Linked DNA regions of Sus scrofa. The protein of the gene in region 2 interacts with the protein of the main gene of each other region in a biochemical or structural test. Links are inferred from orthologs where the notes say so. Each region holds a gene or a part of one and is shown on either strand. Other genes may lie near its edges.

Region 1 (3,741 bases), on a different chromosome or scaffold from region 2:
GCAGCAGCATGACCTGGGGTGGACTGGTGTCGCCCTCAGAGCTGAAGGATAGGTCTTGGGACGCTTCCTGGACGTGCCCTGCCGGACCCTGAGCTCAGGCCCCGCGCGTGCAGCATCCTCTGTGCCGAGAAGTGAAGTAAAGGCTGTGGAACTGGCTCTGCCTGGCCTGCTCTCTCTGGGTCACCCTGCGGGGCAGCGCTCACCCCAAGCGGGCGCGGGACGGGACCCACCTTCCGCCCCTGCTCACCCCACAGCCACAGCCATGGCCACACCTGGCAGATGTGATCACTAAGGCTGACCAGCTGGGGACAAGGTTTGGGCCCAGGAAGGAGGGTGGGACACGGCTTTGCGGGCAGGAGGGCTGACGGGCCGAAGCTGCCGTCTGAACCCACAGGCCCTCCTTCCCAGGGAGCTGCTCTTCCGCGTCCCTCCCCACTGCCCTAACCGCCCTCTGACTCCTCCCAAGGGTCAGCCACCTGCTGGCTGGAGAGTGCTGACCTTGACCCTGCAGGGGGCGGAGGAAGGAGGCAGCAAAAGGCCAGGGCCTGGGCCTCCTGCATCCTGGACTTTCTCAGAAGCTCCCCAGACCCTCAACTTAATCCCTGAGCAAAGGGTTGCCCGCTGCCCGTGGTGGCCCCGGGCCACCCCTGCCTTAGTGCAGGGCCCGGTGGGGTGGGGGCTGGGCCTGCACTGCACTGAGCTCCAGGGAGGGAGCCCCACGAGGCTGGGGCGTTGGGGGTCCTGGCCTGAGCCCTTGCTCCCTCTGCAGGAGTCTGGCGAGGCCAGGCTTCTGGGCCCGCCGAGGAAGAAGGCCTGGGTAGGCGGGCAGGGCCCCTTCCTGAGCTTCTGGTGCCCAGGCCCTCGTGAAGGGGGTGGGGGCTAGGTTCCGCAGGCAGCCCTGGGACCCCGCCTGCTGGCCAGGCCTGTCACCTGGGGAACCCGGGCTGGGGCTGGGTGGTGGGCGGAGCCGGAACTGGGGGAACTGGGGGCGGAGCTGGAGGCAGGCGGAGCCCTGGGGCAGCGGGTGGAAGGGTCTGAGCTGCGTCTGGTGGTGCTGGCAGTGCCATCGCCATGGGACAGATCGAGTGGGCCATGTGGGCCAACGAGCAGGCGCTGGCGTCTGGCCTGAGTGAGTGGGGCCGGGGCTCCCACAACTGGGGGCTGCAGAGGGTGGCTGAGCCTGGAGCGCGGGCAGGCGGCAACCTGGCGGGGGGCCGGGGGGTTGGGGGGGTGGGAGGGAGCAGGGCCCGGGTACCCCAGGGTGCAGGCTGAGGAATCGGGGAAGGAGCAAAGGGGCAGGCTCGGGGTGGGGGGTACTGATGATCCAGGAAGTCGGCTGGAGGCCCAGAGACTGGATGTGCAGCTCGCGGCGGGCAGGAATCTGGGGGCTCGTGTTGGGAGCAGGCTGCAGCCACCAGAGCCAAGGCTTTGGGCTGCGGAAGGGGGTTTGGGGGCCCTCAGGCCCCCGCAGACCCATCGTGCCCTACCCCCATCCTCTAATCTCCCCATTTCTCCGCTCCCCCAAAAGAGGAAGTTGCAGTCGGAGAAAAGGCGTTTTGCCCCCGCCCACCGCCCCCTAACCCCCGGTGGTTTCCGGAGAGTCACTGCCCAGCAGGGTTGGGAAAACCCAGCCTGATGCACCCCATGGCCCCTCCTACCCTGGCGTGGGGGCTCCCTCGCCCAGGACCACCCCTCTCTCTGGGGCCCAGCCCTGAGTCTGCTCAGGACACTGCACTTGGCAGCTGTAAACGGCCCCTGTGCCCCCCTCCCACCCAGCTCCCAGGGCCTGCCTCTGGTGGGGGAGCAGGTCTGCAGCCTGTACTGGGACGACGCACTGGGACACACTGGGATGCTGGAATGTCTCAGGAGGGGCAGGGTCTGAGGCAAGAGGAAGCAGCTCAGGGCTCTGCCCTCCCAGGAAGGCCCTGCACCCCGGGGGAGTGGGCGGACGAAGGGGAGGGAAATACGGGAAAGGGGGGGCCTAGCCCACCACGGTCACCTGGGGCCCATCCCGGGGAGGAGAGCACAGGTGGTCACATTTGGGGGGTGCCCCCACAGGCTGCTCTGTGTCCAGGCAGGCCAGCCCGCCTCTGGTCTAGTCTCAGTGGGTCAGTGGGTGGCTCTCTCCTCACTTCTGCCTGGAGCTGTGACCTCAGCTGCCCCCCACCCCCCAAGCACAGGTCAGCCGCGCCGCGGCTCCACTTACGAGTACAACTCAGCTTCCTCTACCATCAAAGGACTTTTCCTCCTGACTCAGTACCAACTGGGCGCCCAGGCACCCCGCAGCCCTCAATCCCCGTAATTGCAGGGAGCCCCACGGAGGCTGAGCACGCCCCTCCAGCCTCTCAGCCGGGAGCTCAAGGGCCGACTCCCCCGCTCACCTCTCAGCTCACATCCACCTGCTCTCAGAGCAGCTAGCCCCACCTACCCCCACCTAACATGCCCTCACAACAATGCAGCGCTGAGTCCCAGCCGGACCCGGAGGCCCTGCGTGCACCCCTGGCCTCTTGGCGCCTCTCCTGTTGACGACGAGGCTCAGGCCTAGGAAACGGCACCCCGGGACGTGTGGACGTGGTGCTGCCCAAGCCCAGGAAATGGCCCTTCCCTCCCGACAGCTCGCAAAGGTGCTGACCGCACAGCGGGCAGGCGTGAAGGCGGCTGAGGTGCCGGGGGTGCCGGGAGTCAGGGCTTTTACCCAGTGGGATCTGGGGATGAAGCTGAGCTGCACTCCTGAAGCCAGAGCTGGGGAGGGCTGCCTGAACCAGAAACAGACCAGATCGCTCCCTGCAAGGAAATGGGCCATCTGCCACCGGAGTCCAGATGGGAAAGTCACCAACAAGACACAACCGCTGGAAACTCAGGCCTGCGCTGGGCTTGGTGCGGGGCTCCCCTCCCTCCCCCTGGGGCACAGGGACCACCAATGAGGAAGTTGGGGTCACCGGACAGGACTGCCAAAGGATGCGGTCCAGCAGTAGCAAAGCCGGGTCCAGAGGGAAGGACAGTCCACTGACTGTTAACGATTAATAGTCAAGGGTAATTCGGGTGAGACTGGAGCTGCACATTCTAAGGTCCACACACGGATCCAGAAGCGGAATCTTAAAGTTTGATCTAGTCAGCAGAAGGCAGCAGAAGCAACAAACAACTCTTGTTGAAGAGAAAAAGCAAATAAAACAAGGATTTATCTGCAACCTAGTGTTACAGTCATTATCAAATTGGTTCCGGTGTAAAAACTCGAGCTTTGTCAGCTTCTTCAAAACGGCCCCAAACTGGAAACAAGTGGCATGTCCCAAAAGCGGGAGAAAGGGTAAAGAAACGGTTGATGGACACAGTAGAAGCTGCTGGACAAGCGAAGGAGTGAGCTGGTGCTCCCAGCAGACCACCACGTGGAGCCTGGACAAAGCACATTTCTAGATGCCAGGAAACCTGTACCCAGGGAACCCCTGGAAATCCTGGGGACGGGTGGCGCGGACCGGCCCGACACCGTGGGAGGGCTTCATGCCCCCAGCCCCAGGCTTATGGTACCACCACCACGAAATTACTGGGGAGAAAAACCGCGATCCCGCAGCCCGCAGCACAGCCCCCACAGAGCCAGGTAAAGGGCTGGGAGAGGCAGACTCGCCCAGGACGACAGCGACAGCGACCACGAACCCCCAGCGAGGAGAATCGCGGGGCAGGTACATAATCCACAACCAACAGTGGAGCTGGAAACGCACAAAGCGGAGCCTCAAAGCGACCAGGTCA
Region 2 (3,702 bases):
GGATTCTGACCCATTGGGTTAAGGATTCGGCATTTCTCTGCAGCTGCTCTGGTGGCTTCTGTGGCGAAGGGTTTGACCCCTGGCCCAGGAACTTTCACATGCTATGGATGTGGCCAAACGGAAACAGAAAACAAAAAACAAACCAGCAGAGTCCTAGTCACCACCTCTCCCGTCCCCCAAGTGCTGGTGCCTGGAGGTGGATGCTCTACATCCCGCCCCAGGTCCGTCCACCGCAGGGGAACTGATGCTCTGAGCCTGTGAAGTCTGTCTTTCCCCAACACGTACAGACAAAACCCCTGACAGTTAATAGCCATTTAACATAAATTCCTCCTCTGTGACTTGGGGACGTTAAGAGACCTTTCCTCCTGGACCTCCCATCATGGCTCAGTGGTTAACGAAGCCGACTACTGTCCATGAGGACATGGATTCATTCCCTGCCTCACTCAATGGATTACGGATCCCGTGTTGCTGTGAGCTGTGGTGTAGGTCGCAGACATGCCTCAGTTCCCGCTGCTGTGGCGGTGGTGCAGGCTGGCAGCTACAGCTGCTATTTGACCTCTAGCCTGGGAACCTCCATACGCTGGGTGCGGCCCTTTAAAGAAGAAAACACAGAGAGACCTTTCCTCTAAAGAGAGGATTACACCAAAGCACTTAAAGCCTTTGGCACCGGGCCACTGGTTCCTGATGACCACTGCAGACAGCTCCCCAGGGAGTTCAAAGCCAGAGCCAAGGGCCCTACGTTGGGTGTGGGAGGGGCCAGGCCTGGCGGCACTTTGATGGCTCTTCCTTCTCCTCCTCCCAAGGCCAGGCTCCTCTGATAGGAGGGCCTCAGGGTGCAGTCCCAGCCCCCCCACTCTGCTTCTCCTCCCACCCAGGCCCTGTGCTCCTGCCCCTCCGCTCCTCAGGTCAGGGGTGCAGTGAGGAAGCTGCAAAGGACCCAGTCGGGCAGGGAAGTGCGGCCAAGACCTGGCAGGGCTGGGGCACCGCTGGGGAATTCCAGTCTTCCGGGTGCCTGGCAGGCGGGGAGGCAGTGGACTGACCCTTGGCCACACCCGACAGGCTCCAGAAGCTGACGACAGAGACCCGGGGCGGCCCCAGTGATGGCAGGCCCGCGGCACCCGGTGTCCGTGAGCGGGGCAGCTCTGGTGCAGACAGAGAGGCTCCAGGTAGGAACCAACGGGACACCTGCCGGCCGCAAGGGGCAGGGAGGGAGTTCCCAGCCCAGTCTATCCAAGACGCCCCCCTTCCTCCACCAGACATTTGCCTTTTCTGTGCACTGGTCGGATGAGAGCGAAGCCTTTGTACGCAGAAGCTGGGACGAGTTCAGGAGACTCCATGTGAGTGGGCTTCTAGCCCTCAAGACCCTGGCAAGGGTCCCCCACCCTCGCAGGGGCACCCAGTGGGGCCTCAGAGACCCACATGCCCATTCTTGCCCTCAGAAGACGCTCAAGGAGATCTTCCCGGTGGAGGCGGGCCTGCTGCGGCGGTCGGACCGCATCCTCCCCAAGCTTCCTGGTCAGGCCAGCGGGGATCCCAGCAGGGGTGGGGGCGGCAGCGGTCTGATGGGGGGCCCTGGGGCGTGGTACCATGCTGTGTCCCCACCCTGCCCCCAGATGCATCGGCGTTGGTGCACCGGGGGCGCACGGGCCGAGGCCTGGCGCGCCTGCGGCTTCTGGAGACCTACTCAAGGGCCCTGCTGGCAGCAGGAGAGCGTGTGTCCCGCAGCCCAGTACTCACTGGCTTCTTTGCGCCACAACCTACAGACCTGGAACCTGCGCTACCACCTGGCAGGTGTCTGACACCCCCCCACCACACCACCGACTCTGCTGGCAGAAGCATTTGGAGGATGGGGGAGGCAAGGTGGAGGGAAAGTCAGTCCCGCAGACCTCACCCACCCTCTGCTCTCGCCAGCCGGGTGATCCTGCCCACCCTGGAAGAGCCCCTACCAGGCCCCACAGGCAGCCTTGCCATCCACAGCCTGGAGGCTCAGAGCCTGCGCTGCCTGCAGCCCTTCAGTACCCAGGACGTGTGGGGTCAGCCGTTCTACGCCGGGGCCCAGGAGGCCCTGGGTGTGCTGCTGCGACACCCCTCAGGTGAGTCTGGGGACACGCCCTTCTGCCCCTGGGGTCCCAGTAGGCCTCAGGATCTGAAGCACCCCGCCCCTTGGGCACAGGCTGGTGGCTGGTTGTCAACGAGGACCAGCAGACGGCATGGTTTCCTTCTCCCTACCTGGAGGAGGGGGCCCCCGGCCCAGGACGAGACGGGGATCGGCGCCTGGGGAGCCACAGTGAGACCAATTCCCCTCCCCACACCCACCACGACCACCACCGGGCCGTGTTTGGCAAGGACGGGCCGCAAGAAGTACCCAAGCCAGGAGAGGGAGGCTGTGGGACAACTGGGTGGTGACAGTGGCCCTGCCGTGTGTGTTCCCCAGAGTGAGCCAGAGACCCAGTGGGTTGAGCGTGGCCCCTGGTGTCAGCAGAGAAACGAACAGGGGAAAGCCTGGAGATGGTGACGTGGCAGGAGACAGCGTGGGGACTGAGGCAGGGCGGGGGCCTCCGGTCCCAGGTAACCACCAATGTCCATTCCCAGGGCCCCAGTTCTGCGCCTCCCGTGCCTACGAGAGCAGCCAAGCTGATGAGCTGTCAGTGCCCGTGGGGGCCCGTGTGCATGTGCTGGAAACCTCGGACCGTGGCTGGTGGCTGTGCAGGTGCCTGTGGCAGGGCAGGGCTCTGGTGGTTCGGCCAGGGGCAGACCCGGTGCTAACCAGCCCCGCCCTCCCCACAGGTTCCAGGGCCGCACCGGTCTTCTTCCTGCTGTGATACTGCAGCCCGACGGGCTGGGCACACTCCTCAGCGGGCCCCGGCTCCACCCGGGGGCAGATGGAGGGGAGGACAGGGAGGGCGAGGCCCGAAGCGCCCCCAAGTCCCCCCAGGCCCAGGCCCTTCCCCCGCCCGTGCCTGCCCACCCACCGCTGAGTGCCATCCGGAGCCGCTGCTGCACCATCACCCGAAAGGCGCTGGGGCAGGACCCAGGGTGTCAGGGACCGCCTTGAGTGCGTGTGACCCTCGTGGGGGGGCTGTGGGAGGAGCAGCTCAGGGTGGGACTCCCTGGCTGGCAGGGACTTGTCCTCTGAGTAAAGCTCTCCTCACTGACCCCCACCCAGTGGCGGTGCTCTGTGGGCCTGTGGGGTCTCAGCCAGGGTTGGGGCTGGGCGGTGGCCCAGGCCCTGGGGTGCGACAAAGCCCAGACAGACACAGGGAGCAGAGATCAAAGTCCATTTTTCTGGGGGTTTAGAGGGCTGGGGGCGCTGCGGGGAGCGTGGGCAGCTTCATGCTGTGCCACAGGAAGTCCAGGAAGGCGGCCGCCTGCAGTGTCCGGCTGAGCCGCTGGAAGTGCCGCTCTGGGGGGGGACAGCAGCTGTCAGGGCCCACGGGTCTGGCGGCCGGGCCCCCGCCCTGATCCAGGCAGCCCACATACCAGTGTAGGGCAGCAGGGCCTCAAGGGAGGCCCGCACGCCATCGTAGGCCAGCAGCTCTTCCGGGGCCTCGTGCCGCAGGAGCATGCCCAGCACAGCCTGGGCTTCGTGGCAGTGCCGTGAATTGGTGTTCCACGTGACACAGAAGCGCAGCAAGGCCTCTGGGGGTGACAGGGACGGTCAGACCTGCCTGCCAGCCACCCCAGGCTCAGCAGGCACCGTCC
Region 3 (3,741 bases), on a different chromosome or scaffold from region 2:
GGGCCCTAGGGGCAGGCACGACCTCCCTCTGTCTGCAGCTGCATCAGGCTGGAGAGATGCTTCTCCTTTCTCTGTGGAGGAGCGGGGGCGGGGGGGGACCTCCTGGTGTTCGCGGTGTGAAACCGACTACAGGGAACCCCATGCACACAGGAGCTCTCACACACCGCCACTCCTAGGTCTGCAGACCAGAACGGGAAGACGCTACCTCTGCACTCCTAAAAGCGAGACGGCACTCCTCTGCTACCCAGGGGAAAGGAAGATTGTTCCCCAGCCCGGCAACAGCCCAGCCAATGAGAGGCGCGCGCACAGCCCCGCCCCCGCCGCCCGGCCTCCATTTCCTCCAATGGGATCGCCTTCCGAGCAGCCCCGCCCCACGCCCTCCTTTTTCTCTAAGGAGCCACGAGCGGGACTCGCCTGTCGTTTCCGCTACGGCCCACGTGTCCTGCGCTGCAGTTCTCCGCTGTTCCTGAATAAACCCATTTTGCTGATAAAATAACTGGCCGTTTTAAGGTCAACAAGGGACCTGTGCCCTGCCGGGAGGGCACACAGCAGCTCTGTGCTCGACCTCCAGGGACGAGCCCCGGCCACCCTCAGTGGGGCCCACCTGCCCACAGTCCTACGGGCTGAGAGAAAGATGGGGAGGGCGGGGTCTCCCCCGGGGCAGGACACGGCACCCTGACGGATGACCTCCGCCGCGGGCCTCAGCCTCCGACCTGGGGTCCTAGACAGGCTTTGCCCAGCGCGGGTGAGCGCTGACCCGCCCTTGGGTCCCTCCCGGCCGCGTCCGTGTCCAGGCTGGCCGCGGGCGCGGGAGGCCCCAGACCGCCTGTGACCCGAGCCCCGGCCCAGGACGGGCTCCTCGGGCCCCGCCCCTCGCAGACTCGGCCCGCGCCCCGAGGTCGCTCACCTGAGCCCGCGGGGTCCGCCCGGAACCTTGGCCCGGCGGCGGCAGCGGCGTCAGCAGCGGGCCGGATGGCTTTTCCTAGCGCACCGAGGCCGACGCGGCCGGGAAGCGCGAGAGCGAGGAGCCTCAGGCGATAGTGCGGGGGGGGGGGGGGCTCGCTCGGGGGAGGAGCCAGGCCTCAAGTTGGGGCGGGGCGGGAGGCAATTGGGGCGGGGCTTGACCGGGGGCGTGGCTGTGGGTGGAGCCCGGCCGCTAGTGGGGGGCGGGGCTGACGGAGTGTGGCCGCTCTGCCGCCAGGGGGCGCCGTGGGCCGCAGGAGGCTCGGCACACCTGGCGCCCCCCCCCCCCCCCCCCCCCGCCACCGCCCAAGTTCCTGGCTCCTGGATCAGTTGCCGACCCTCCTGTCCGCCTCGGAGGGTCCCCGCAGCTCCACGCCGATCTCTGGCTCCCCGGGTCCCTGCCTCGCGGACCTCAGCCCCCAGCCACCCCACCAGACCCCTAACGGGACCCCACTGCCGCGCTCCGGCCGGGAAGCGCCGATTTCCGCCGTGCGGCCAGGCTGGTGTCCGCGCCGCCATGCTCTCGCTCGGGGACCTGGTGCGCGACTGGCACCGGGGCGCGCAGGCTGTGGCGCGCGGAGATTGGGGCTGCGCCCTGCGCCTCTTCTCGGGCATTCCAGAGCCGCCTGCCAGGATGAGCTTCAACGTGGGCTGCGTGCACCTGCTGGCGGGGGACCCGGAGGCTGCGCTGCAGGTGAGTCAGGGCGCCTGCCAGCCGTGCCCCCCAGGATTGGTAGCGGCGGCCCCACCTCTGGGAGACGCTGTTCTCCCTCCCTGGGGTTTCAGTGAGAGGTGAGATAAAGACCCAGCTGCAGGGGCGAGTCCAGCACCCACCCATCCCCACCGCCGCCTGCCGATGTCACCCCTCAATGAACACCTAACGCAGGTGGGAGCTGTGTGGGCGGTGGACCCACCTTGAGCTGAGGTCAGGGCCAGGATGGGGTTGCAGGGCTCCCACCCTGCCTCTAGTATGTGGTGACCATGTGCCAGACTCTGCAGGGGTGGGGAAAGACCTCCCTGAACACTGGCTCCAGTGCTCACCTCCTCGGTGCTAGAGTGCTGGAAAGAGGCTCCAGGCCGGACTGGGCTGGGAAGGGGCTTCCGCAGACACCTGCGGTGATGGCCAGGAGTCAAGGTGTGTCTGGTGGGTGCCCACACCCCAGATCTGAGTGCTCGCCTGACTCCCACGCACTCCCCAAAGCCAAGCGCACACAGGCGCTCACCTGCCTTGGCCGAGGGGGTGGCGCAGAGCCACTGCCTGCCCTTCAAGGGCTCCAGCTTCATCACAGTGGTGCGCTCCCACGGGTGCAGGACGAGAAGCCAGCAGCACCCTGCCCACTGCTCTGGTCCTGGGATCACCCCTCAGAAAGAACCAGGCTCCTACCTTGCTCAGCCACTGGTGACAGCCACCGAAGCCACGCGAGTTAGAAGAGACTGAGACGTTACAGGCAGCTGTCGTCATCAGTGTCTCGAAGGCTTCGGCCCTGGGGGAAACTGGGTCACGTGTGCTGGGGACCTGCCCTGTCCGTTTCTCACGTCTGTGTGCAAATCCACCATTGTCTCAGCAGTGATGGCAGGGCTGAAAGGTCTCCAGCCCTGGGGGGTCAGCGGGGAAGGCCCATCCGTCACCACTCACTCTAACGCAAGATTTAGCCAGCGAGAGGGGAGAAGGTTCGCAGCAGAGCGGCTTCAATTCTCCTCCACCTCACAGGAGACGAGTTCCGTCTAAAGACAACACAGCCAAGTAGCAAAAGCATGGGCATGCTGGGTAGAAACACGGAGAATTTTAAAAAGCAGATGGAGGAGTTCCCATTGTGGCTCAGCAGTAACGAACCTGACTGGCACCCATGAGGATGCGGGTTCGATCCCTGGCCTTGCTCAGTGGGTTAACGATCCGGCGTTGCTGTGAGCTGTGGTATAGATCGCAGACGCAGCTCAGATCTGCTGTGGCTGTGGCTGTGGTGGAGGCCGGCAGCTGCAGCTCCGATTGGACCCCTAGCCTGGGAACCTCCATATGCCACGGGTGCGGCCCTAAAAAGACAAAAATAAATAAAAAGCAGATGGAACAGCTACAATGAATGAAGCTGATTGTCTCTAAGGACCTCTGAGGAGGGTGGAGTGTGGCTGGGCTGCAGGGTGTCGGTAGGAACCCCATGGGAGCTTGAGTTGGCTGCCCCGAGTGGCTCAACAAGCCCCCACTTGGCCAGATCTGATAGGGAAGGACCATGGCGCCCTTGTGTTCCTGCATTTAACTTTTTTTTTTTTTGTCTTTTTGCTATTTCTTTGGGCCGCTCCCGCGGCATATGGCACATACGCGTCTGTGACCTACACCACAGCTCATGGCAACGCCGGATCCTTAACCCGCTGAGCAAGGGCAGGGATCGAACCCGCAACCTCATGGTTCCTAGTCGGATTCGTTAACCACTGTGCCACGACGGGAACTCCTCCTGCATTTAACTTGGCTGTGGTATGCTCTCCTCTGGCTTGCGTTTAACTGGTGGCTGCTGTCCTCCCTAGGAACAGACAGTGACATTTCTGGGTCAAAGTTTAAGGAAGATGGTACAGCAGAAAATGATCACGACATTGTAAATCCACTATACGTCAGTAAAACTTCAAAAACGAGACGAAAATTTTGAAAAAGAAAGAGCAGCGCTTTGCACACATATTAGGTCGTTTGTATTGCTGTTCTTTCTGATTCTGAAAGAGAAGAAGTGTGTCGTTTTGTATGAACTCCCAAAAATAGGATTTCAAAAAGGCAAGACTCTTGCGTAATCCCAC

The links.
Region 1: the proteins of NOXO1 (region 2) and CYBA form a complex in vitro, tested with the Homo sapiens proteins (3 studies listed by IntAct). The link is inferred for Sus scrofa from reciprocal best matches to the Homo sapiens genes NOXO1 and CYBA.
Region 3: the proteins of NOXO1 (region 2) and NOXA1 form a complex in vitro, tested with the Homo sapiens proteins (2 studies listed by IntAct). The link is inferred for Sus scrofa from reciprocal best matches to the Homo sapiens genes NOXO1 and NOXA1.

Annotation. Positions count from the first base shown.
Region 1 is NC_010448.4:1,014,148-1,017,888, forward strand, and holds the start of CYBA (cytochrome b-245 light chain), read left to right. Parts: upstream 1-1,071; coding exon 1,072-1,129; intron 1,130-3,741. UniProt on the Homo sapiens protein: Subunit of NADPH oxidase complexes that is required for the NADPH oxidase activity that generates, in various cell types, superoxide from molecular oxygen utilizing NADPH as an electron donor.
Region 2 is NC_010445.4:39,986,476-39,990,177, forward strand, and holds NOXO1 (NADPH oxidase organizer 1), read left to right. Parts: upstream 1-864; 5' UTR 865-1,100; coding exon 1,101-1,166; intron 1,167-1,256; coding exon 1,257-1,337; intron 1,338-1,439; coding exon 1,440-1,515; intron 1,516-1,613; coding exon 1,614-1,791; intron 1,792-1,911; coding exon 1,912-2,093; intron 2,094-2,173; coding exon 2,174-2,287; intron 2,288-2,592; coding exon 2,593-2,710; intron 2,711-2,787; coding exon 2,788-3,055; 3' UTR 3,056-3,165; downstream 3,166-3,702. Other genes in the region: TBL3 (transducin beta-like protein 3), read right to left, coding at 3,294-3,403, 3,481-3,639. UniProt on the Homo sapiens protein: Constitutively potentiates the superoxide-generating activity of NOX1 and NOX3 and is required for the biogenesis of otoconia/otolith, which are crystalline structures of the inner ear involved in the perception of gravity.
Region 3 is NW_018084833.1:549,264-553,004, reverse strand, and holds the start of NOXA1 (NADPH oxidase activator 1), read left to right. Parts: upstream 1-1,253; 5' UTR 1,254-1,480; coding exon 1,481-1,657; intron 1,658-2,347; exon of another isoform or gene 2,348-2,776; intron 2,777-3,741.